2 linked regions of the Drosophila melanogaster genome follow. Changing the gene in region 1 together with any one later gene gives a genetic interaction. Each region holds a gene or a part of one and is shown in the gene's direction. Other genes may lie near its edges.

Evidence for each region. Genes that interact genetically often act in the same process or in processes that back each other up.
Region 2: of bnl (region 1) and ptc, changing one suppresses a phenotype caused by changing the other (phenotypic suppression), as found in Drosophila melanogaster (one study listed by BioGRID).

Annotation. Positions count from the first base shown.
Region 1 is NT_033777.3:19,831,898-19,840,536, reverse strand, and holds the start of bnl (branchless), read left to right. Parts: upstream 1-3,719; 5' UTR 3,720-4,275; intron 4,276-8,639.
Region 2 is NT_033778.4:8,648,086-8,654,614, forward strand, and holds the start of ptc (patched), read left to right. Parts: upstream 1-1,563; 5' UTR 1,564-2,336; coding exon 2,337-2,465; intron 2,466-2,611; exon of another isoform or gene 2,612-2,968; intron 2,969-3,165; exon of another isoform or gene 3,166-3,411; intron 3,412-6,529. UniProt on the Drosophila melanogaster protein: Segmentation polarity protein. Acts as a receptor for the hedgehog protein (hh). Associates with the smoothened protein (SMO) to transduce the hedgehog signal leading to the activation of wingless, decapentaplegic and patched itself.

The DNA of each region.
Region 1 (8,639 bases):
CATCATAATTAGCATTGCAATCTAAATCAAAATATTTACAAATCAATTATTGTGATTAGCGACCGCCGCCGCAACTTCCACCATAATCGATCACCCAGCTGGGCACTTCTCGCTCAGGTCGGCGTTCCGTAATCCATACTCCGGTCCAATTCGATCCGAACCGATCCGATTCGAACCCCAACCCCCATCGACTGGGTGGCGACGACAGCATTTCAGAGTTATCATAATTTGCATTGGCCTTAACCCGTTGGAAGATATAAAATATCTTACCGAAAGATTATAAGTTATTCATTAAACGAACATGTACATTCCTTTTTGCAAAATTAGTTACTTGAAAATTTCATTTTGTTCAGTTCATTAGTTCAAGCAGTTTAAAATTGATGAAAATATAATATAGGTTAATGAAATGAAAGCTTACTATGCCATTATTGTATTTCAAATTTATGAGTAAATAGAAAAATTATTATTATAGTCCTTACAATTACCTAAATGTCTTAACTAATTTTAAGTGCTGGGGGTTAAAATGTTTTCGTATCAGCAGGCGACTTAAAGCCCGTCACTTGGTTAAAGACAAAAGACAAGCCTTTGGCGACAGAATCGGTTTGAGATTTGTTTTTAATTGATTCGAATCGATTCGATTGGATTCGATTCGAGTTGAATTGAATTGACTTTCTGTCAGTCTGTGTGTCGGCTGCTGGCAGTATGTTCGTCGCCATTTGCTGACAGGCGCTATTACAATTTTATTAACATAAATTATTGCGTTCAGATCGATCCGATTCAGTTGCGAGTACGTACGTAAGTCGCCTACAACTAATGGAAGCTTAATGGTTGTTAATGCTTGGTGACGGAATTTCTCAACGAAACTACTTTATTGGCCCAACGCGCTTTTGATTGCCGATTTGCGTGTGGATTCAATTGATACTCGATCATATCTGCGAAATAACTTGGCTTATTATTTGCTACCAAACAGGCCAATCATGTTGGTTGACACTGGACATGACAATATATATATTCTGTAATTGAATATCCCACCGATAACAATCTTAAAACGATTCGCTCTTTGATCTGTGAACAAGAAAAAGCCGCCAACCTTGAGCCTTAATGATGGCGCGTTTTTAATCGCCAGGAAAACGCGTGCGATGGGATCAAAAGGTAAAAGACTGGAAGTCAGGTTTACGAGGATCCCTTCCAGAGTTGGGGGCTACCCAAAACCAGCTGCCATAGATCGGGCTATTTAAACACCTTAACGGACTTCACTTGCCACATTTTCGGTCGGCCACGGTTTTTAATTAATCTAGCATCTTGGACGACTTACGCGGAAAAAGGGTCAGAGGTCGTTGAGGCGAGCACATTAGGCTGGAACACTCGACTGGCGGGCTAATTAAGTCATTAGCCCGAAAATGTCCTGCTGCTGCTGCTGCCGCTGCTTCTGCGCATAATTAATCATTTTAATTGTCTGACTCCTTGCTAAAGGACAAGGGGAAACCAAGGGACAATGTGGAAAGTGCAAAGGGCAGATCGACATTCCAAAGGTTGCCCTCGAAAACTGCGGGGGAGTTCTCGCTGTTGTTGGTTATTTATTGGAATAGGCACATTTGGCATGTGCTTCCCCGCGTTTCACCAGGCGTCAAATTCTCGGGCACAAAATGTTTTCATTCCGGTTAATTGAGTTAATTGAGTTTTGAGGCAACCCTTTTTCTGTGGCCTGGCGAAATCACTTAGGCCACTTACGAGCAAGCATTTAGAAATACATTTGAAAACTAAATTAAACACAGGGTCTAAGTAAATTTGCTTATTTCGAAGTATGCAACTTTAGCATGGCTTTACTCGCGCTTCAAGTGATATATTTAAACTCAATATTCTAAATTCAAACTGTTTAAAATTTACAATTTGGACAGATCTACATAGGTACTATTTCTAAACAAGCAAAAGCGCAGTCCACAAAATTCTTAATATGTTTCATAAATCATTTCTACACAACATAATCTAACAAATATTTTCAAAAAATTGTAAGTACCAAACACGATAGATGACACGATAAACAATATTTTATGGCTTTAATAAACAACATTGCCTTCTCAAAACTGCTACTTTATAGCAGTTATATAGTCTTAGCGACAATGTAAAACTTTGCCAATCAGTAGCAAGCCCGCACTTTCCACCGGCAACACCCACCCACTGAATGACGCTGTCATCAAGAATGACGTAGGCGACTACCCCGGAATATTTCTGCAATTTCTGTAGTGTCAAGTTGAAGTTCATTCATACACACATATGGGTATCTGCACCATGTGATTTTTTATAAGCGCCTTCTAAATAGATAAGATAAACTTGTATTCAACGAAATTCGCGCATAGCTGCCTTAACTTTTAAATTTGCCGTGTGACAGTATTTTTGGGGCTAAATTTTGGTCAACATCTAAAATTAGCAAAAATTTCGGTTGGTCAGAAATAGGTTTTGTGGTTTATTGCAGCCACAGGCAAATGAGTTGGTCAAAGTTCAAACCTTATCAGTGCGAATACAACGATGCGATTAGCACCTATCGTGAGTTGGCTTTCCCACGCGACTGATTCACTGGCAATGTTTAGCCGAATAATAAAGGGTACTGGGTGACGCTTGTTGTTGCACTTTGTGTTGTTAGTTAATTGGTATTTGTGCAAGTCCACGCTACCTGGCGAAATACGTCAAAAGCACTGGAAAAGGTCTACGCGCCAAAAAGCACAACCGCCACCAAACGCAATCCAATCAAAAACAAAAAGCAACTGCAATCTCTCCCTTTCACAATGTCTGTTTGAAAACCGTCACGTGATTTGTCGCCGTCGACTTAGGGGGCTCATTATAGTGACAGAACTCTAACAAAAATTAGTAGACTACTGTATTTTATATATATATATATATATATTTTTTTTTTTATATATAGAACATTTTAGTTGAGCTTTATGTTCGAAAGTTGTTTTTCTAGTGACAGATAACACCTTGTAGCCTACATTGTGGCCCAAAAAATTTCAGAATTTTCGGTTAGATAGTTACCATGTAACCGTTTAAGATATTTAGAGTAAGAAAAAGTAGGCTTCATAAATGATTAAGATGACTACAGTTAACCACCCCAAACACTAACAGAATTTGTTTGTTTTACTTAAAATCCAAAAATAATTTTCTAAATACAACAAATAAGTACACAAAAAATAAAAAAAAATTGATTCATATTTTGCATTTAATGTTTGAGTACAATGTTGAGCTAGTAACACAGTAGTTTTTAACCACTCATTAAAATTTATAATTTATTCAGCTACAAAGTATAAATTAGCAACGAACGAAATACAAATCTTTTATAACGGTGTTTTTGATTCTGACGCTAATGTATGATGAATCAACGAGTTGGCAGCGTTTCAATCACTTGAGCCGCAGTTTCGTCAGATCGGAAGGATGAATTGGGAATAACAGATAAACCCCATATCACACCTAGGGAACCGACCGACCACCATTCACTACAGCTGACCACCGACCACCATTCTTGGCGTTTACCTTACTCGCCCACTACTTGCTCTCACTCTCTCCGTCTCCCTCCCGCCGAACCGCACCGCATCGCACTCTCTCTCTCGTGCTCGTTCCGTCGCAAACGTGCTCGGCGTGAACGCACGAAGCGTCGCCTCATCGACAGGGTCTTTTTGCTCATGGCTTCAGTCTCTGACTAGCACGCTTGGGGAACACACAGTGAGCGGAGCGTCCGCAGTCGCAGTAGCACTCGAAGTCCGCTTATCCGCATCCGCAGCGTTTTCGAATTTTTCAGACCTACCATTCGATCCGATCCGATCCATCTGGCACATCCTAACCATCTCTAATCGTAACCCCATCATCGTGATCGCGTCCGTAATCGCTCCGTTTTAACGTACTCGATGTTCCGGTTTTGTGTGCAATCGTTTTCAAAGGAGATCGAAACAATAATCTCGGCGGATAGGAAATTTGAAACACGAATGTTCGTTTCGCAATCCAAGAGAGTCGTTACAATTTGAAAAGCCCGCAATAAAAAAAAAAAATCGTTTAGATGCGAGCAATTCGAAGATCGGAAAATATATAAAAAAATAAATATATATATATGATTTGTGCTGTGTTTGAAAAAGGAATATAAGAAAAAAATTATGAAAATGTTGAATTGTTGTTGCCGTAAGTTTTAAAGTGTGCAAAGTGCAACTCTCTGAAAATCAACGAAGAATACAACGCGTCCAAAAAAAGAATCGTAAAACTGAAAAAAAAGCAAACAAACATAAAACCTAGGTGCGTAATTTTCTGTTTCAACGCTGTTACATAAGTTCTTTTTTTTAATAAGTTTGTTGTTCCTCCAAGTATTTGTTCGAATGTTGCAAAATATTTCATTGGATTTCGGTCTTTGGAGCTTAGCAAAAGCAAGCCTAAAATTATTGAAAGTTTCAAGTTTGCCGAACGGAAAAAATATATGTTTTTCTGTATTATTAGATTTGATGTTTTGAAATACTAAAATTTATAAAGAGTTTCAGTGTTCTTTGGTCGCGCAATGTTGGGCATTTAAATAAAATATTTTGAATACGTTGAAATGTGGCAATTTGTTTGGTAACTTTCAAAATAAATTTAAAACATTTTCCACTTGGCAGCGGGCCGAGTAATAAGTGTATTTAAATGACCCACGAGGGAAAGTAATTAAATAGCAATATGTATAAAAACGAAATAAATTGATTTCAACAAACAAATAGCAAGCTAAAGCAAATGGGCAAAAACTTAATTTATATTAGTGGCATGCTAATTGAAATAATTTAGTTCATATTTGATTTGATTGATCAATACCTGTGCAGAATGATATTCACTTAAAACGTAATCTGATTGCATTTAGGTATAAGCGAATTAAATTTGATTTGCAGCCTAGTTTTTCCAAGTACTTTTCCGCGTTTATCTGCCCCAAATAAACAATTGGTAAAGCAAACAAAATGTAGCAAAATGTTTTTTTTTGCCAACCGGTGAAAGCAAACGACCTTAGGAGAACCCACTCTATGAAAGCGAAATTCATATAAATTTAAGCACACGATCTTTGGGATTATTTATAGTTTTTTTTTTTGCAAAACGCATATACATTTGCGAATCTTTATCGCCGTCTTGAAATGTATCTGTATCTGCGTATATGCGAATTGTGCGTATCTCTATTTGCAAACGCACGCAGGCGCTTTTAATCTCATTTCGCTAACTTTTTCGCAATAAACTTTTTTTCTGCTCACTCTGCGCGTGCACTTTTTGTCCTATAAATTGGCGGCGCTGACTATTATCTAACATTTGTGCGCTATTATCTAAGCTGGCTTGTTGTTCTTGTTCTTCCTGCGGATGATTTGCGCTGCGTATCTGTATCTGTATTTTGTATCTGTGTGCGAATTTGCGTTATTGCCGCACGCTAGTATGCGTCGGGTTCAACAACTGCTAATCACATGCCGGATCACAGTTTGGACAGCCGAGCGACAGACAAAGTGCGAAATATGGGGATCGCGATAAAGAATAAACTGAATGAATTTCGGCTGTGTGGACTAGCGGGTGATATCCTTCAAAATTAATGGCAGCGAAGAGTGCTTAACTCAAATCAGGGTCATTATTTGTAGAAGCTATTAACTATTTGGTATTTTCAGATTTTTTCTGGTCATTTTTCAAACTTATCTGGGGTCTAGGGAAAATATTAAAATTTTGGTTTATTACCTTTTACTTTCCTTTCATAACTTTTTTATTGGTTTACAATTGTTCCAGCAATAAGGGCTATTAGTTAGTATTATAATCAAGTTAATCTTTTTTGCTAACTTACATAAGCCATAATAAATCTTATCTTCTAATTCTAATTGTATAACTTATTAATAACCAAAAATAAGCGATAAAGATTCATACATTAATTATACATAATTGAATTGTGCCTCTTCAAATGCCGATCAAATTTTATTTCCTTTGCCGTTAAAGTTCTCACGTCACAATTTCATCAACTAAAAAATGAATATCCCCCAAGGGCAAAGAAAATAATTGGCTAATTGTTTAGTACCGCTTACGAAACGGTTTCTGGCTACGTCAACGATTGAATAATTGAAAAGACCACCGTAAATTTAGACATTAAGACATCAGTTTATGCAGAAAAACCAATTGAAGTGATTAAATTGCATGGGCAGTCCCGAATTAATTGAAAAGTAAATTTATATTTTGGTAGTAAAAGAGTTGCGCGTGGAATTTATATTTCCCCGGAGACTGTCGTGCATGCCTTCGGACTTCAGATGTCATAAAGCCAGCCAATTATCAGGTTTAGTTCTGAAACGCACGAGTTGGGTAACTTTTCGCTTGGGCCTGTGACACATTTACAAATTGTGCCTGATTGATGGGGCAGCAAGCCCAGTGGAGCCAAAGTTTGAAATACAACGATCATAATTCGTAGATAGATAAAGCTTATCGCATGCAAAAGAAAAAAGTTTTATGGCCGTGCGTAAATAGTTTTGCGGTTTGTTTTTCTTTTTGCCCAAAAGTGGCGCATAACACTCGGAATATAAAGTCAACCGAAGTCGGCGAAAGAAGGCGGAAAATGCGGGAAACTCAGTAAAAATGTAGCGTTTGTTTTAATTAAGCGTGAACACTAGACCACATAATGTGCGGCATACATTTAGAGACGCACACACACGATCGCACATGGCAACAGCTTTAGGTACACCGCTCAGTTAAAAAGCGAGCAACAAAAAGGCAAAATGAAAACGAGAAAATCGTCGCGTATTTTACTCAGGTTGTTGTTATTCTTGTTGTTTCTCTTTTTTTTTTGACGGTTTTCCTTCTTTTTTTACACATATATATATATTTTTTTTTTGGTTGTTTGACGCATTTTAAAAATATCCTAGACGCAATTGTTGTTTTGTTGGCTGTCTGTTTGTCACATTACTAATACGTCGCGTTGTCTTTGATTTCGTCGTTTTCGGTTGGTTTTATTTTAAAACGACGGTTTTCCTTTTAATTTTCGCACGTAAAGTGCGTGACTTTTAATTAGACTACAATAAATGTGCGAAATTGTGTGGGAGATGAGTCTGCCAGTGGGCAGTGTGTTGGTGAAGGCAAGAGATACATTTTAGGTGAGATACATGGTGAAGGTGACAGAAACCGACTTAAAGTCCTAGGGTACTTCCTGTTTTCAGAAAGAATATTTATAAACTAATATTTAAGCAAATAATTTTAACAAATGAAAAATGATTTGTTAACAAGTTTTTCATTTTGAACTTTTTAGGGAACTAATTATTATATGTAGACTATCTCTAGAAGTAACTTTCTCATTTTATTTTCCTTTCTATATGGTGTCAATATATCTGGCGACCGATATTTGCTTTGTTGTTAGCATCGCCGCATGTGATTGAATCGAATTGCTGTGCGTCGTGTGTGCGTGTATCTGTGATTGTGCCCTCGCCTGTCTCGTGCACTAAATATTTAAAATAGCTGCATCTTGAGAGGATTTTTCCCGCTGCCGCTGAGACTGCGGCAACCCAATTGCTTCCGGTTCAAATCGATTACACAAAAGCGCTGCCTTTGAGCGCTCAGGTTTTTCACCGTACTTTTCTTTTCTACTTTTCCCTGGCGGCAGTGCTTTCCCCGCGGATTGTTGGCAAGTATCTAACAGTGATGCCTTCAAGTATCTTATGCCCGTTTCCATACGAATGAAGTGCACATCGATTAGTGCATTTGGCTGGCTGCCTGAGTTATGTTTCGGTATCTTTTTCATTTCCCCCGTTCGACGCTTTTCTTGTTTTTCCAAAGAAAACTAATTGTTTTGTAAACACGGGAGTTGGATCGTTGGGCGGGGGTATGGGATCCCAAGAGAACCAGATCAGCGACAATAATCTTCATCGAAATGCATCGCCTTGTTTGCATTCTGATGGATACCATCTATAAGGCAGTTGTCAGGGAATGCCATCGCACATCAATCTTTCGCTAAACATTCCATAATACAAACTAATGCACGAATGTACATACGTATGGAAACAAGTACTATATGTATATTTATTCTCGTTCAATCTTGTGACAAGTGTCAACACGACAATGAACGTCAGACACTTAACGGGGAAAATAAATACAAATTTATCTTCTCTTGAACTAGAATTTCATTGTTAGGCCCATATATCTTTGCACATTTGTTAAATTCTTTTCGCTTTCAACGTGGCATTGAAATACTTTTTTTAATAGTAGGCAAAATAATTAACTTAATGTGTTGCAGTGCACAACATTGTTTTGTCTACTTGTGGGCCTAATTTATTTTATTGCCCAAACTAAAGTTGGGCAAAAAACATAACCACAAGCCATGAATAAATTGCACATGTAAGTGAAGAGTCTGGGAATTTGTGGTTTTGGCACTGTTTTTTACTGCCAACCGCAAGAAGAATGAGATACGACATTTACTAAAGAGTTTTCTGGGTAATGGATTCGCGCAATAAATATCAGGAATTAGCTTTGCTTCTGAAAACAAACAAATAAATCTGAAGGGGACACAAATAAAAATAAATATATATAAATTGCCAAAATACGAATAAATATAATTAAAAACAGGAAACCTTCACTTCTAAATGCTGCAACCGGTTATCGTATTCAATAAACATAAAACATAAACTTTATGCTAATTT
Region 2 (6,529 bases), on another chromosome or scaffold:
CTATGCAGTTGCATTCAATTTGAATTTCCATGGTGCTGATGATTCGAGCGCCAATTTTTTCGAAGAGTTCTTATTTGTTTACTTCGTTGTTGTTGCCTCAATTGGAAAGGGAAAATGTGGAATGCGGAGAAACACCAGAAGCAAATGCATTTCCATTCATAAATCCAAAGAAGTTTTAAAGATAACATGTCATTTGGCTTAAGTTCGTGGTGCACAAAAAAGATCGGTTTGCGGTTGTCGCATGAAAATGAGTTTATTCCATTGGTATATTATTATTCAGAAATTAAAAAAAAACTTGTTTAGTCTATTTTTTTTTTTTAAATAAAAAAAAAAAATTCTTTTATAAGTCGATTTTAGAGTAAATATTTAAAGACTACGTCTAATAAACATATAATTTGTTCTGTGTTTTAATTTGCCGGCAAAAACAAACCTACTTGTGTGGTCCTCGCACACTCATAACCCCTCGCATATTTGAGATTCATGGGGCAAAGAGGCTGCAAAAACAATGGAAAGGGAAAAGCAGAAACATCCTGCCGCTCATAATTTAGCATCGGAACATGCAAAAACAGACATCATCGCATGGGGCAGCAGCAACAGCCATAAAACCAACAACACGAGCAATGTAAAGCTAACAAATTTGCCAACAGTTCGCGGCACGGCTACACACACACACATGCATGCGCAGCCTGCCACGCACGCGCTTCCCCCAAACAAATACACACACACACACTGAGACGAAAGCTCCATTGGGCAGCGCTGCCGACGCTGAAGGCCGACATCGGCAGAGCTGAACGTTTGGGTAGGGGACCACCCACATCGCTTGGCGGTTTCAGTTTAATGAAGGCAGAAACAAATTTATTTTTGGGTGGTCCACACTGCAGCGAAAATAAACTACAGTGGCAACAACAAACCAGCAGCCAAGGCACTTTGGGTGGTCCATGCAAAAAAAAAACAAATTACGGCATGCGAATAACAATAGAAATTAGCGCTCTCGTGGCGGAGCTATTTGGGTATATTAGAGCTACATATTTTATTTGTTTATAAAAAGTATAAATGTAAACAATGAGTTCCAAGCATTAAGTCCGTATGCTCAACAATTACATTATCATTATTATTATCACTTAAATATTTACAAAGGATATTTAAACAGTAATAGATATATATTTTATTTCTTAATTTCTGTTAACATATGTATTTACATTGGTAGTTATTCTTTATTTTGCAACAAGCATTCATAAATTTTATATAACAAACTTGGTATTTTCTCGGAAAAACTCCTGAATCACCCCTCGGTATTTTGTGCGTTGAGCTATCGTTAAAGCAGCCCTCGCAGAGAGCGTTCTCAAACCAAAATGGCCGCACACGAAACAAGAGAGCGAGTGAGAGTAGGGAGAGCGTCTGTGTTGTGTGTTGAGTGTCGCCCACGCACACAGGCGCAAAACAGTGCACACAGACGCCCGCTGGGCAAGAGAGAGTGAGAGAGAGAAACAGCGGCGCGCGCTCGCCTAATGAAGTTGTTGGCCTGGCTGGCGTGCCGCATCCACGAGATACAGATACATCTCTCAGACTGCGTGCGATCCTCGAACGAAACGGTTGTAAGTGCGGAGCGCGACGACTTGTTATTCGTATTTCCGACTACTGGCACTCTCTGTGTGTGGTATACTAACAAGATAGATATCACAGAACTCGTGGAAAAGCTAAGATATTGTACCTCACGGATGCGAGGCGAAGTTCATGGATTAAATGCCAGGCAACAACAAAAGCCAGCCAACCAGCCAGTGTTTGTGTGTGTGCGTCGCCAAGTGCAAAGTAAAGTAAAGGTAAAAGAGCGAAAGGCGAGAGAGAAAACCGAATACGTGAGTCGTCCGACTGCCGCTTTTCCATGTGTAAAAGATCTGTGAAAATTCTGTCAAATTCCCCTGAGAAATTGTGCCCAAGATAAAACCCGAAAACCGCGTTTTAATCGTCGAAAAAACCCAGCAAAAGCGAAGCCAGCAATCACAACAAAACAACACAACGAGAGCTCAGATACACAGCGTGCTCAGTGAGTGAGCGAGAGAGCGCGGGAGAGAGCGTCTCTTGATTTAAAATACAAAATAATTAAAAATAAAAATGCGGAATGCAGTGCAAAATGCAGCCAAACAAAATACGAGATTCCAATAACAATTAATCGAACCGAAAGTCCACGAACAATCCGCACACTGTCTCCCAAGTCTCAGTTCTCAGGACGCAGACGAACGGCAGGCACTGTAGAAAGACCGATTCCGCAGCACACTCCCATCTGCACATCTCCGCCACGCGATTCCGTCCGGAATCTGGCTATAAACATAACCATAATGGACCGCGACAGCCTCCCACGCGTTCCGGACACACACGGCGATGTGGTCGATGAGAAATTATTCTCGGATCTTTACATACGCACCAGCTGGGTGGACGCCCAAGTGGCGCTCGATCAGATAGATAAGGTGAGTGCCCAACTACAGTGAACTTTCACTGTGAAGGATAGCCATGTGTTGAATTCAATAATATTCTTGAATCGTATTCGGAGGATCCTTTATAAGTTTAAATGGAAAATCTGGCTCTTTCGAAACTTTTGTTAGTAATCCCTTTTACTTTAAATTAAGCAAAAGATTTGAAGTATTAAGTAAATTTACAATCTTTTTAAAATTTGAAATTGTTATATTGTACAATTCTTGTCATTAGAATATTGAGACACTTAACTAAAAACCATGATGTAGAAGTTCGACTGTAAATCCGAAGAGCAGCGGCTTTTGTTTAATGCGGCCATTAAGTCGCCGGGACAGATTTCAATAAATTTTATTGCCAATATCTCTCGCAATATTTTTCGCGTTTTTTTCGTCGCCGATGTCTTCTTCGCCGGTCGTTTCGATTTCATTTCATTCGTTTCGTTTTCTTTCGTTCGATTCCCTGGTTAATATAGTTGTCTGATGTTCGCTTGCCAGGCAGCCTATTAATTACAGTGATTAGTTGAAATCCACGCCAATCGGCTTATATGCTAATTTTGCTATTTCGTTCTCTGGACATAAAAAGCGTGGAGGATTTACCTCCAAATATAGACATTTGTTTATGAAACTATTCGCCGTAAAAGTAGACGGAATAACCCTTTCGCTGCAGTCTAAAACTACAACAAATTGGATGTTTTACCAATCTTGTTAGTATTTATTCTCTGTGCACCGCCATCAATCCACATCTATTTTCGCTGCGCAGACGTAGACACACAGCAGGACTTTCGTACTCGTTTCGCCGATCCCAAACCGACCGATCCAACTCCAGACGGACATATCCACAGACAACTTCATTACTTTGGCGCTACTGTGCGCGGCTGGTCCGAAACCGCAAACCGAACAATAACAACTGCAACTGCAACTGCGGCGAGCGCCAAAAACAGCTAGGCAAAAACTGGGCAGCAGCAGCAGCAGGAGTTCCGTCCAGCAGTCGAAAGCAGCCGAAAAGGCAAAAAGCAGAAAGCTTTGGCAGCCGCAGCAAAAATAATAAACAACGCCAGCAACAACTTGCCCAGCATTCTGCTGGTGTGGGTTCGTATCTGTGTGTGTGGTTGTGTGTTGCCTTCCAACATGGGTGGGCGCCGAGGTCTCCGCGAGAGTCATTTCGTACGTGATGCTGCTGGCTGGACTGCCATTGGCCACCCCCTTCCAGCCGCTCTTTTCGGAGCCGCCCCACCCCTCCATCGCCCCAATGCCCCACCGCCCCAGTCAACGCTCCTCAGATGCTCTGTGATACGAGTTGTGGGGCGACTTCGGTTGGGAATTCTTCGCAGATTGATTAGAAGCATGCGTGACGTAATGAGTAATCTATATAATTTCGAAACAATTTGCTTTTTGGCTCTGCACTATGAGATTGATTAGCAAGCGTTTAGTCTAATTAAATGTCAATAAATGAAGGGCGCACATATTTTCATTACTATTTATATAGATTTTTTTTTATTGATCTTGAAGGTATAGTTCAGAAGGTAATATTTCCAATATAGTTGTGAACTCTAAAAAGAGCAGCATGCAGTCTTATATCCATTTTCGTTGCCAAAAGCATTTCAGTTTGCTGCTGTTATTCCCACCCATGCAAATGAAGCAGCCAGTGATCGTTTTTCGGGTTGGGATCGGGCCATTGAATGCGGGTGGCCCAAAAAGCGGAAAAAAAGAAAAGAGCCAAGGAAAAAATTTTACTGACGCACGCGCTTTGTTGTTGCTGACTCTGCTCGCGCAGTGACTTCCAAACTGTGCTACACTGAAAAAGAAACAACCGTTTACAAATAATAACGCTTACATGGCAAAAGTAAGAATTGATTTCCAGACAGAATTGATTTCCTAGTTAAACTTGCGAACTTTACGATAGTTTATCCTTAGGGTTAGTAACATATTTCAAAGATGGAAGTGCAGTAAACATTTTGAGGAAAACTCAGTTTTTCTGTGTGGACCGCCTCAAGTTTTCTCGCTGCTTCGCTGATGCTTTTTACAGCTTGATGTCTTCATCATTGTTGCAGTTGCAGTTCCTTGGCGACCGCGTGGCGTGTCTTGCTCTGTTGTTGTTCCCCCTCATTCCCCCGCCCCATCTCGTTTCCCCATCGAGTTGGTTTTCCTCTTGTTTTTGCCTCTCCGCTTTAGTGTGAGTGTGTGTGTGTGTGTGTGTGTGTGCATCTCAATTATTTCTCGTAAAGTCTCTCGGGGCTCGGTTGTAACGTGCTTTTGACTCTGCCCCATCCTGAACTCCACTGGAAAGTTGTGGCAAACGATCGATCGTGATGGCGCCGACATCGTCAGCGTCTTTTGTGGTCGTCGTCGTCGTCATCATCATCGTCGATGGCGATTTATTTTAATGACTCAATTTAACGAAATATATTAAGACATTAAAATCGTCTAACGAAGCTGGCGAGGGCTCGCAGTGCGTTTGCTTCTCTTTTTTGGCGAGTATGCAAATTACCGAACGCGATTATTATTATTATTGCTTTTGTTTATTTACTTCTCTGGAAAAAATTTCATTTCTGCTGCTGGGAGGTCTACGTTGTCTTCAAAAGGATGACGTTTTCATTCATGATATGCATACCAAATGAAGCTGAGAATTACTTAGTCAACCAATGAGATCTACTTGAGGGTATATCGAATGGGTGATTAAGCTTGTTTGCTGATGAAGAGTAGCAAAAGCAACTTAACTTTACGTATTAGCCTCATACTTACATGGTAAACATATGGCGCCCAACGTGTACTTCCCCATGATTGTCAAATCTTCTAGATTTTGTTAAGCTATAGAAAATGATTTTTACAGTTAAATATTATTATTCTATATACATATGGAATTTAACGTATTTTGGGATTTTGTTTACGGAATTCCTCCAGAAATAAAATGCATTTCCAAAGAAAACACTTTCATCTATTTTTACTTGCTGAGACGTGTTTGCATGTGTGCACCGCAAATCATTCGACTTTTTGTTTTGACTTAGAGTATCTCATAGCTGCATCCGACTGTCCGCCGATATTTATTTATTATTTGCCCTAAGCCCGACGACTGAAATCGCACAGGCTGAAATCTCATTTATGGCAATGCCGCACTATCGATGCAGCCCATGTACTCGCGACAGAGCTCGTTGTATCTATAAGATACATATGAATTCATGAATGAAATCGCTTGTCTGCCCCGTAACCCCTTCCCCATCTTCGTTCCACACCACCACGATGTCTTCCCCGTTTGCTGTGCCAATTGTAAGGCAAACACACTCACACCAAAACGCACACACTTTGCACAGGAAGTTGAGCAACATTGGCGGCATTTTGAAGAAGTCTGCGCTCCCAGTGGGCTATAAATTTGTTTAGTCATGCCGGGAGATGCCCGGCGATCCCGTGTCCGTTTCGCTTTTTTCACAACTGCTCACGAAAAACAAACACAAACACAAATATTTGTGGCATCCACGCAGACAAGGGGCAAACATTTATCAAATTGACATAGCCAAGAGGAAGGAGAAACATTTTCAAAAACAAAAACCAGTAGCCTATCGGTACAAACTTTGAAATTGACTATCAACAGGAGCATCATAATTATTGGAGAAAACACGAAAATTGCATATTCCTTTGCAGATTGAAAATTATACCTTTATCCTTAAGCCTTTAGAGTCAATTTAGAGTCGAATCTGATAATAGAATAACATCTCTTTCGAGCTACGAAACATTTTGACAAAAATGGTCGTCTGTAAAAGTCAGACGCTTTCTGTCTAAATCAACTCTGCAGGTAAATTAAATATTTAATCAAAGCCCCAACCTCAGCCAGATAACGCGGCCTATTGACTTTCAGACCGTAAGTCAAATATTATAATTTCCAGATCGTTATCTGCTTGATAAGATCTCGAGCGCGGTAGGTGTAAGGCAAATAAATCATTGTCACACTCGCGATCAATATTTGTTATTTGATATTTTCAAGTGGCGAAGAGGGAGTTCAGATAGCAATAGCCCCACACAAATAAAATACAGTCCAGAACCATACAATTAAATACTTATGAAATATT